3 linked regions of the Saccharomyces cerevisiae S288C genome follow. Changing the gene in region 2 together with the main gene of any one other region gives a genetic interaction. Each region holds a gene or a part of one and is shown on either strand. Other genes may lie near its edges. The genes, in order: COX20, COA6 and PIC2.

Region 1 (3,220 bases), on a different chromosome or scaffold from region 2:
TACTTTGTGATGCAGACGACCCCTTCAGCAAAAAAGCAGATGGGCCATACGGGACCATCGGTGGTGATGGAGAGACTGCTGGAGAAGCATACAACAGCGATGAGGAAACGGGTGGGAATGACGTGGTGCTCAATGAACTACTAGAAGGAACCAGCCAACCTTCCACATCAAAAACATCTTTACCCAAATCCAAGGGGTCCTCAACGGTATCCACACCGAATCATTCACAGTCAAGTTCAAACAAGGACGGGGTACGAAACAATGGCGGCGGCAAAAATGGCGAAGATGAGGATACAGACAATTTGATGGGAACAGAAAATTCATTTTCTTTACCGCCTACGAGAAACTCTGCCGAGGAAACCACACAAACGTTTAAACAATTGTCCATTAAAGAAGATAATGACAATCACAGCAGCGATACGGACGGCATGCAAGACCAGTCAAGTAATATATAAAATTTGTAACTCTATGTATGCTTTTTATATAGAAATGGAGAAAGTGAACAATTGAAGTTATAGTATTTTCGGAGAAATGTTGCATATATACATAGGAAAACGGTTAAAAGGCCCTGCTTCTACCTTCTGTTTCCCCCTCGTTCTTTTCACCAGAACTTGTACCATTTCTTCTCAGAGGAGGCCTGAGATAAATTCTGGTTACTTTGTTCAAACTGACTCTGCTTTTCATTTTTGGCGGCCTCCCATTGCCCCGGCAGAGATGGGTCATGAGGGACATTATGGAGCATTGGTTTTTCCTTTTTCGCCACGGTTTCCTTTGCCAATTGTGCGATCTGGAAACTTTTTTGTCTCTTTAGCCTACATTGCTCCCATCCGACAATCGAGCCCAGTATCAGAGAGCTCATCGCCCAATTCGTGGCCTTAGTCGGGCTCTTATGGTATATAAATATAATAGATCCCATCAAGAACATGCTGGAAAACCCGAGCATGCCCGCGTCTCTGAAGCACGGGATTGAAGTCAGCTTCTGCAAACTAAAATCACTCCATCTGATCGAGTCCCAAGCCTCTTTCAAAGTAGCCCGTTCTTGCTTCTTGGCCAACTGAGAATTGGACAAGTCATCGGCAAACTTGGGTGGAGTGTCTTCTAAGAGGATCTTTTGACCCCGCGAGTAATTTGTCAGCACGCGATCACCATCTGCTTTACCCTGCGGTTGTTGCTGCTGCTTTTGATCTTCTGTCTGATTTGACCACGGCCACCAACGCATCTTTATATTAACTGTTGAGCTGCTCGTTACGCACTGCTGTGGACTTCACTACAATGCTTTACCGAGCAGTGGAGTTTGATATAGTGGTGGTACCCCCGACGGTGCTATAATAAGCTTGCCTGCACGGCTTACCCTACCGCTCGGAAAGGCCGCCTTCGTCGCTCATTGGTCTGCGGCCGCGGGCGCTTTTTGGTCATTGTTCATATATGAAGAAAGAGCAGGAACGGAAATTTTTCATCTTGCCTTGCCCATTGTTCTGATCCATGCGTTGTTAGAAATACAACGTTTGCATCATACCAAACTTCTCCATTCCGTCAGCTGATACTCTATTCGGTTGTGTGTTGCACCCTGCTCTGCTGTCTCTCAACCGTTCTTCCTTTACACGCCTTCCCTTCTCAGCTCGCGTTTCTTTTTTTTTTATCCCACTCTTTTCTTTTTTCTTTCCTATATATTGCCCATATAAGTTTGGTTGGAAGGAAAACTAATAGAGCTAGTTGTTGTCCCTCAATAATCATAACAGTACTTAGGTTTTTTTTTCAGTATGCAACGCTCCATTTTTGCGAGGTTCGGTAACTCCTCTGCCGCTGTTTCCACACTGAATAGGCTGTCCACGACAGCCGCACCACATGCGAAAAATGGCTATGCCACCGCTACTGGTGCTGGTGCCGCTGCTGCCACTGCCACAGCGTCATCAACACATGCAGCAGCAGCAGCAGCCGCTGCTGCCAACCATTCCACCCAGGAGTCGGGTTTCGATTACGAAGGCCTGATAGATTCCGAACTGCAGAAGAAAAGACTTGACAAATCGTACAGATATTTCAACAATATCAACCGATTGGCCAAGGAGTTCCCCCTAGCTCATCGCCAGAGAGAGGCGGACAAGGTCACCGTTTGGTGTTCCAACGACTATTTAGCACTTTCCAAGCACCCTGAGGTATTGGACGCCATGCATAAAACTATCGACAAGTATGGTTGTGGTGCCGGTGGTACAAGAAACATTGCTGGCCATAACATCCCCACTTTGAATCTGGAAGCCGAATTGGCCACTTTACACAAGAAGGAAGGTGCCTTAGTTTTTTCGTCATGTTACGTAGCCAACGATGCCGTCTTATCCCTACTGGGTCAAAAGATGAAGGACTTGGTGATTTTCTCCGACGAACTCAACCATGCGTCCATGATTGTCGGTATTAAGCATGCTAACGTAAAAAAACACATTTTCAAACATAATGACTTGAACGAATTGGAACAACTGCTCCAGTCATACCCCAAATCCGTTCCTAAACTAATTGCTTTCGAATCAGTATATTCTATGGCCGGTTCAGTGGCCGACATAGAAAAAATTTGCGACTTGGCCGACAAATACGGTGCTTTGACCTTCTTGGATGAAGTACATGCGGTCGGCCTGTACGGCCCTCACGGTGCAGGTGTTGCAGAACATTGTGATTTTGAAAGTCACCGTGCAAGTGGTATTGCTACCCCAAAGACCAATGACAAGGGCGGCGCGAAGACTGTGATGGACCGTGTCGACATGATCACCGGCACTTTAGGTAAGTCTTTCGGTAGCGTAGGTGGCTACGTCGCAGCCTCTAGGAAATTGATCGATTGGTTCAGATCGTTTGCACCTGGTTTCATTTTCACCACGACTTTACCACCTTCAGTTATGGCAGGCGCTACCGCAGCAATTAGATACCAACGTTGCCACATCGACCTAAGAACCTCGCAACAGAAACATACCATGTACGTAAAGAAAGCTTTCCATGAGTTGGGCATTCCAGTTATTCCAAATCCTTCTCATATCGTCCCAGTGTTGATTGGTAATGCTGATTTGGCTAAGCAAGCTTCTGACATCTTAATCAATAAGCATCAAATCTACGTACAAGCTATCAACTTCCCTACGGTTGCTCGCGGTACCGAAAGATTGAGAATTACCCCAACGCCAGGTCACACCAACGATTTATCTGACATCTTAATCAATGCAGTTGATGATGTGTTCAATGAGCT
Region 2 (2,850 bases):
TCATTCGGTATTAGAATTACTTGTGATGACGAATCACAATGTGAAGGCCTACCATGCTCCATTGACCCAAGTTCTAATGGAGTCAACGAAGTGACAAGTTCTGGCGGTGGTTCTTCCGGGGCTGGTGGTGGAAACTTTTGTGTTGTCACCGCCAGAAACGGCGCCAAGGCCAACATCGAAGTTTTTGATGTTGGTAGCGGCTCATCTTCTAAAGGCAAGAGAGAACTGAATCCGCTAGACGTTATTACCACAACGGTCACCGAGACCAAGTACAAGACAGTCACCGTCACTGCCAAAACTTAGCGCGGTTTTTTCTACCTTCCCTTTTTTCATCTTTTTGTTATATATATATACAGAGACACTCATGCGAATTTTCGCAAAACGAAGAAAAAAACATAAAATTTTCGTTTGTATCTACATGACTATCCTTTAATTATTACCTTTCTGTCAAATGTTTTATGGGAATATATATGTTAATATGAGCCAATAACTCACTAAAAACTCACTGATTTCGTTCCCTCTGTTTAGCTTCCTGCTCGATTCTCTTGATGGTCTGCTCTCTCTTAAAGTCGATGACCCTCTTCTCCTTGAAGTACTTGATCCAGCTATGGGCGCAATTCTCCTCAAATTTTTCATTTTCCACCTTGCAGTGCGACTTTATACTCTTGCTATTCTTGGGGTCCATTGCGTCCAAGATGTCTGCCTTGTCCAAACACTGGAAGAATGCGTCCCTGGACTCCCAGCACAACTTTCTCTGTGAACGGGTATTAGGGGGTTGTGATTCCTTTTTGCCACCATCAAATGAAAATAAGCCCATCGCTATATTACTACTATTCCTTTCTGTATATTCGTGTATCTATGTTCCTGCGCAGCGCTACAATAGTACCCGTCTATGTATGTATGTATGTATGTATGTAGGCGAATCTTCTCCCCCATTCTACAAAGCAGCACCTACCACCGCAGCACCGTTTCACATGTCCGTCTCTTTTGTTCAGCTCAGCTACAATCGTCAATCGCACTTTCTTCCGCGCGGGCGAGCCCGGTTTTGTTGGATTTGCTCAGGTGCCAATATACCATCAAGGAACGGACAGGGACCTGACAATACAATAGGCCATTTACATCACAATGCACAGGGACAGAAATTTATACACGATAACAATACCAACTAAACAAAAATATCTCCCGAGCCGATGCTTATTCCGCGGGTTCGATGCCGAAATAATTGTTGCATACGCTTTATCCAACACGATGGAGCGTGTTGGGCGCTTAAAGAAGAGACTCACTAAACTGTTCGGCTTTTTGGCTGCGCGTCTTTGCCGTTTCCCAACAAAAAACAATCATACTTAGTAACAAGAAAGACAAAAGCGCAAACCGAACCGCCCAGCTCAACCATCTTCGCCAAGTAGCGGCAAACTTATATAAGCTCCAACGATGTCCCCATCAATTAAGAACCCTCGATTGTCGGCGATCTATTTTTCTATTCTGGGTGTTTCTCGGCCTTCGTTCATCTCGTTCTTTCTACTCTTAGCCCTCATCTTTCTCTTCTGCATTCTTTTCACCTCATTAAGAACATTCGCGGCGCCGCTTTACCCCAACAAAAACAGCCCATCTTTTGTTCTACCTCTTTCAGATAAGGCTCAACAGATAGACAATAACTGATCATTCTTTCTTTTGTTTGCAACCCCTCTGAGTTGACATAAAAGCGAGAATACAAAAGAACCAGCATTAGTAACACATCATTTTTTTCTCTGTTCTTCACTATTTCTTGAAAAACTAAGAAGTACGCATCAAAATGACCGAACAATATTCCGTTGCAGTTGGCGAAGCCGCCAATGAGCATGAAACCGCTCCAAGAAGAAATATCAGGGTTAAAGACCAGCCTTTGATTAGACCCATAAACTCCTCAGCATCTACACTGTACGAATTCGCCCTGGAATGTTTTACCAAGGGTGGTAAGAGAGACGGTATGGCATGGAGAGATATTATAGATATACATGAGACGAAAAAAACCATAGTCAAGAGGGTGGATGGTAAGGATAAGCCCATCGAAAAAACATGGTTGTACTACGAACTGACTCCCTACATAACCATGACATACGAGGAGATGATCTGCGTAATGCACGACATTGGACGTGGGCTGATAAAGATTGGTGTTAAACCTAACGGTGAGAACAAGTTCCACATCTTTGCCTCTACTTCTCACAAGTGGATGAAAACTTTTCTTGGTTGCATGTCACAAGGTATTCCTGTGGTCACCGCGTACGACACTTTGGGTGAGAGCGGTTTGATTCACTCCATGGTGGAAACAGATTCCGTCGCCATTTTCACGGACAACCAGCTGTTGTCCAAATTAGCAGTTCCTTTGAAAACCGCCAAGAACGTAAAATTCGTCATTCACAACGAACCCATCGATCCAAGTGACAAAAGACAAAATGGTAAGCTTTACAAGGCTGCCAAGGATGCTGTTGACAAAATCAAGGAAGTTAGACCGGACATAAAAATCTACAGTTTCGATGAAATTATTGAGATAGGTAAAAAGGCCAAGGACGAGGTTGAATTGCATTTCCCCAAGCCTGAAGATCCAGCTTGTATCATGTACACTTCTGGTTCCACTGGTACACCAAAGGGTGTGGTATTGACACATTACAACATTGTAGCTGGTATTGGTGGTGTGGGCCATAACGTTATCGGATGGATTGGCCCAACAGACCGTATTATCGCATTCTTGCCATTGGCTCATATTTTTGAATTAACCTTTGAATTCGAAGCGTTCTACTGGAATGGTATCCTAGGGTACGCCAATGTCAAGACTTTAACCCCAACTTCTACACGTAATTGCCAAGGTGACCT
Region 3 (3,446 bases), on a different chromosome or scaffold from region 2:
CAGAAATCGTCATTGGTAAAAAAAACCCCGAACATGCCGATAAAGACTTGCTTATTCACCTACGATGACTTCAGAAGTGCGCCTATATTTCTTTACTTTTGAACACCCTTCCACCGCCCATTTAGAGAGAGCTATTTTTGTGCCTTCACTTCCGGCAGAGGTTATATTTTTTTTTTTTTTTTTTTTTTGCATACTACTCCTACTTCTTTCTACAGTCTCATCCCGACGCTTCAGTTTGAAATGTAAGGGACTGCGGCATTTGACTGAAAGAAGGGAGAATGGATGGTTTACTTTACTTTTTACGTAATGAAAAAAAAAATGATTGCTGTATTAGGACATCCCTGTTCTTTTATGTGGTAGCCTATATCCGATAACTGTTCAGCTATAAGACGTGAAGAGAGATTTTTTGGTACCCCTTATGCATTCAATTAAATAGAGAATTAGATATTTCTACCGATGTGCATTTTGTATATAAAGAAGTAGGAATCCCTTCTACAACGACAGAGGTAGACATACTGCTTGGAAACATTCTTTTCGTCCTTTTACAGAATTCTACATAGAAATAATAAAAACAAACAATAGCTTTACTACACAGTACACACTACAATGCAAGATTTAGAGATTTTTTTGAGTATTTTCGCTTTCATTTTCGTTTTCTACTTTGGTGCTCATAGAACAGTCATGAACAGAAACAAGAGCGATGTTCCTTACTTGCAGTGATTTAAATCAGCTAATCTGCTTACTGCCGCCAAGAGAGGTATGCAAAGTCAGTTCTACCTAGTCTGGCTTAGCGTTTTACTATTTACGAAGTTGATGTTCTGTTTTCTAATTTATCTTTTTTCTACTCATTCATTTCCACACTACACTTAATATTTTTTCAATAATTTTCGATGTTTTTAATCCGGTTTTCTATTGATGAGCGCCTTCTTAGCTCATACTTAATACACGTTTTTTAAGATTTATACGTTTGACAGCTCACGCTGTTTGACCAAAGTTATTTTCATTTTTATGTTCGTAATTATGTATTTTTGCTATTGTATATGATATACGTCTATATTTAGGCAATTATAATATGATTATAATATAACTTACTACATCTCTAAAACATGCTGTCTAGCCCTTCCATCGCAAGACTCGGCTAGACATTCGAGGAAGGCACAAAAAGCCACCTATCCCCATCTCTCCAAAAAGCTTCATTTCGAAAATAAGAAGGGAAACATCCGAATAAGACTAAAACTTTGTTCCTTCAATGACTACTAAGTTATTAGATGTCAGAAATCCCGCAAAATCGCCCGCATATCAAGGTAAGCGGCAAAACCCTATTCTTGAAAAAATGTAAATACTAACCGTGTGAGAATTTTAACGGTGTATTCCAAAAAGTCAGCACGTGATCTGCTAAGAAATCCGAACCTCGGCCTTTGTTTTTTTTGTTACAGCATAGGGAAAAGACGCATTGTGTCAAAAAGGAACATCGTACCATTACCCTCTCAGCACATAGGTAATAAGGTGACAAGTAGCAAGTGAAAAGTACCGCTTACGAAGAATACTTTAATTCAACGTAGATACTGCAAAATATTCAAGTCATTATTTTTGGCCCTTAACTTGCCTTTCCAGTTCTTAGATTCATTCATATGCTAGCTAGCAACAACGGTCACTTTGGGTTGCATTTCACAATCTCATTCGGCTAAGATCTCGGCTAACCAAAAGTTGGACTTCAGGGGTATTAGCGAAATAAGGAGATCTTTTTTAGGTTTATTCCTTGTTTTTAGTTTCATTTTGCTTAATAAAAAGGAAAATGGATATATCGATTTTCTGCATACCCTGTTACATTTGATATAAATACAGCGGGACCTACCAAATATACTTTCATTTTGCTTGTGTTTTATAGATATTTTATTTTTTTTTCCAGGCAGTCAATGACACATTGTTAACTGAAAGTGTTCTGTTATTGTTTTAATTCTAAAAAAATAAAGTAAGGGAAAAAGAGAACGGACTCATTGACAGTTGTAAAGCATGGAGTCCAATAAACAACCACGTAAAATCCAATTATATACGAAAGAGTTTTATGCCACATGTACCTTAGGTGGTATAATTGCGTGCGGTCCAACACATTCTTCGATCACTCCACTAGATCTTGTCAAATGTAGGCTACAGGTCAATCCCAAGTTGTATACTTCAAACTTACAAGGGTTCCGTAAGATTATAGCTAATGAAGGCTGGAAGAAAGTATACACTGGGTTTGGTGCTACATTCGTCGGATATTCGCTACAAGGTGCAGGTAAGTATGGTGGTTATGAGTATTTCAAGCATTTGTATTCTAGTTGGTTAAGTCCTGGTGTCACTGTGTACTTGATGGCCTCAGCGACCGCTGAATTCCTCGCTGATATCATGTTGTGCCCATTTGAAGCTATTAAAGTGAAACAGCAGACTACTATGCCGCCCTTTTGCAATAACGTTGTTGATGGATGGAAAAAAATGTATGCAGAAAGTGGAGGTATGAAAGCATTTTATAAAGGTATTGTTCCCCTATGGTGCAGACAGATTCCTTACACAATGTGTAAGTTTACCTCATTCGAAAAAATTGTTCAAAAAATATACAGTGTTTTACCTAAAAAGAAAGAAGAAATGAACGCATTACAGCAAATATCAGTCAGTTTTGTAGGTGGTTATCTGGCAGGTATATTATGTGCTGCAGTCTCACATCCTGCAGACGTTATGGTTTCCAAGATCAATAGCGAAAGAAAGGCCAACGAGTCCATGTCTGTAGCCTCTAAAAGAATATATCAAAAAATTGGCTTTACTGGGTTGTGGAATGGGTTAATGGTGAGAATTGTCATGATCGGTACTTTGACAAGTTTCCAATGGCTAATTTACGATTCGTTCAAGGCTTATGTAGGCTTACCAACCACCGGTTAGCTGATCGATTCAATCGGCAAGGTTTATCGTAAACACTCTGTGCTAGAGGAATATTGTATACACAGGATTTCATAAAGTTAGTAAATGACCGGCATTTATAGTTTGTTCTTCTTTGCATATGTCTTAATAAATATTCGTCCTACAATTTCTTTTCATACTAAGAGTTTTGTTATGATTGCCAAATTTCTCAAGCCAAGAACAGGCCCAGGAAAACTTTGAAAGTGCCATATCAGAAACACATTTATAAGGTAGTTTCGATATACGGCAATACTCGATGCATGCCCAAACTTGCCAGCCGCTCGCGATTGAATCTTCTACAATTTTTAGGTGAACATATTCAGAGGCTGAGGCCTTATTTGATAGTAACATCAAATATCACTCCCACAATTTACAATCACTGTCATTGGTCTCACAGGATCCTTTTCTTTCTAGAACTCCCCTAATATCAACTTTTTACTCTACTGTGGCTCTAACCACGTGTATTTTTCAGGCCCATGACTCACCTTTTCTTTCTTTTTCACTAGCAAACG

The links.
Region 1: of COA6 (region 2) and COX20, extra expression of one rescues a mutant of the other (dosage rescue), as found in Saccharomyces cerevisiae (one study listed by BioGRID).
Region 3: mutations in COA6 (region 2) and PIC2 impair growth when combined (synthetic growth defect), as found in Saccharomyces cerevisiae (one study listed by BioGRID).

Annotation. Positions count from the first base shown.
Region 1 is NC_001136.10:925,692-928,911, forward strand, and holds COX20 (Cox20p), read right to left. Parts: upstream 1,220-3,220; coding exon 602-1,219; downstream 1-601. Other genes in the region: IVY1 (Ivy1p), read left to right, coding at 1-455; HEM1 (5-aminolevulinate synthase), read left to right, coding at 1,761-3,220. UniProt on the Saccharomyces cerevisiae protein: Involved in the assembly of the cytochrome oxidase complex. Required for the maturation and subsequent assembly of the mitochondrially encoded COX2, the precursor of subunit 2 of cytochrome oxidase.
Region 2 is NC_001145.3:758,015-760,864, forward strand, and holds COA6 (Coa6p), read right to left. Parts: upstream 818-2,850; coding exon 503-817; downstream 1-502. Other genes in the region: YMR244W (uncharacterized protein), read left to right, coding at 1-303; long-chain fatty acid-CoA ligase FAA4, read left to right, coding at 1,793-2,850. UniProt on the Saccharomyces cerevisiae protein: Involved in the maturation of the mitochondrial respiratory chain complex IV subunit MT-CO2/COX2. Thereby, may regulate early steps of complex IV assembly.
Region 3 is NC_001137.3:258,207-261,652, reverse strand, and holds PIC2 (Cu/Pi carrier), read left to right. Parts: upstream 1-2,013; coding exon 2,014-2,916; downstream 2,917-3,446. Other genes in the region: YER053C-A (uncharacterized protein), read left to right, coding at 607-720.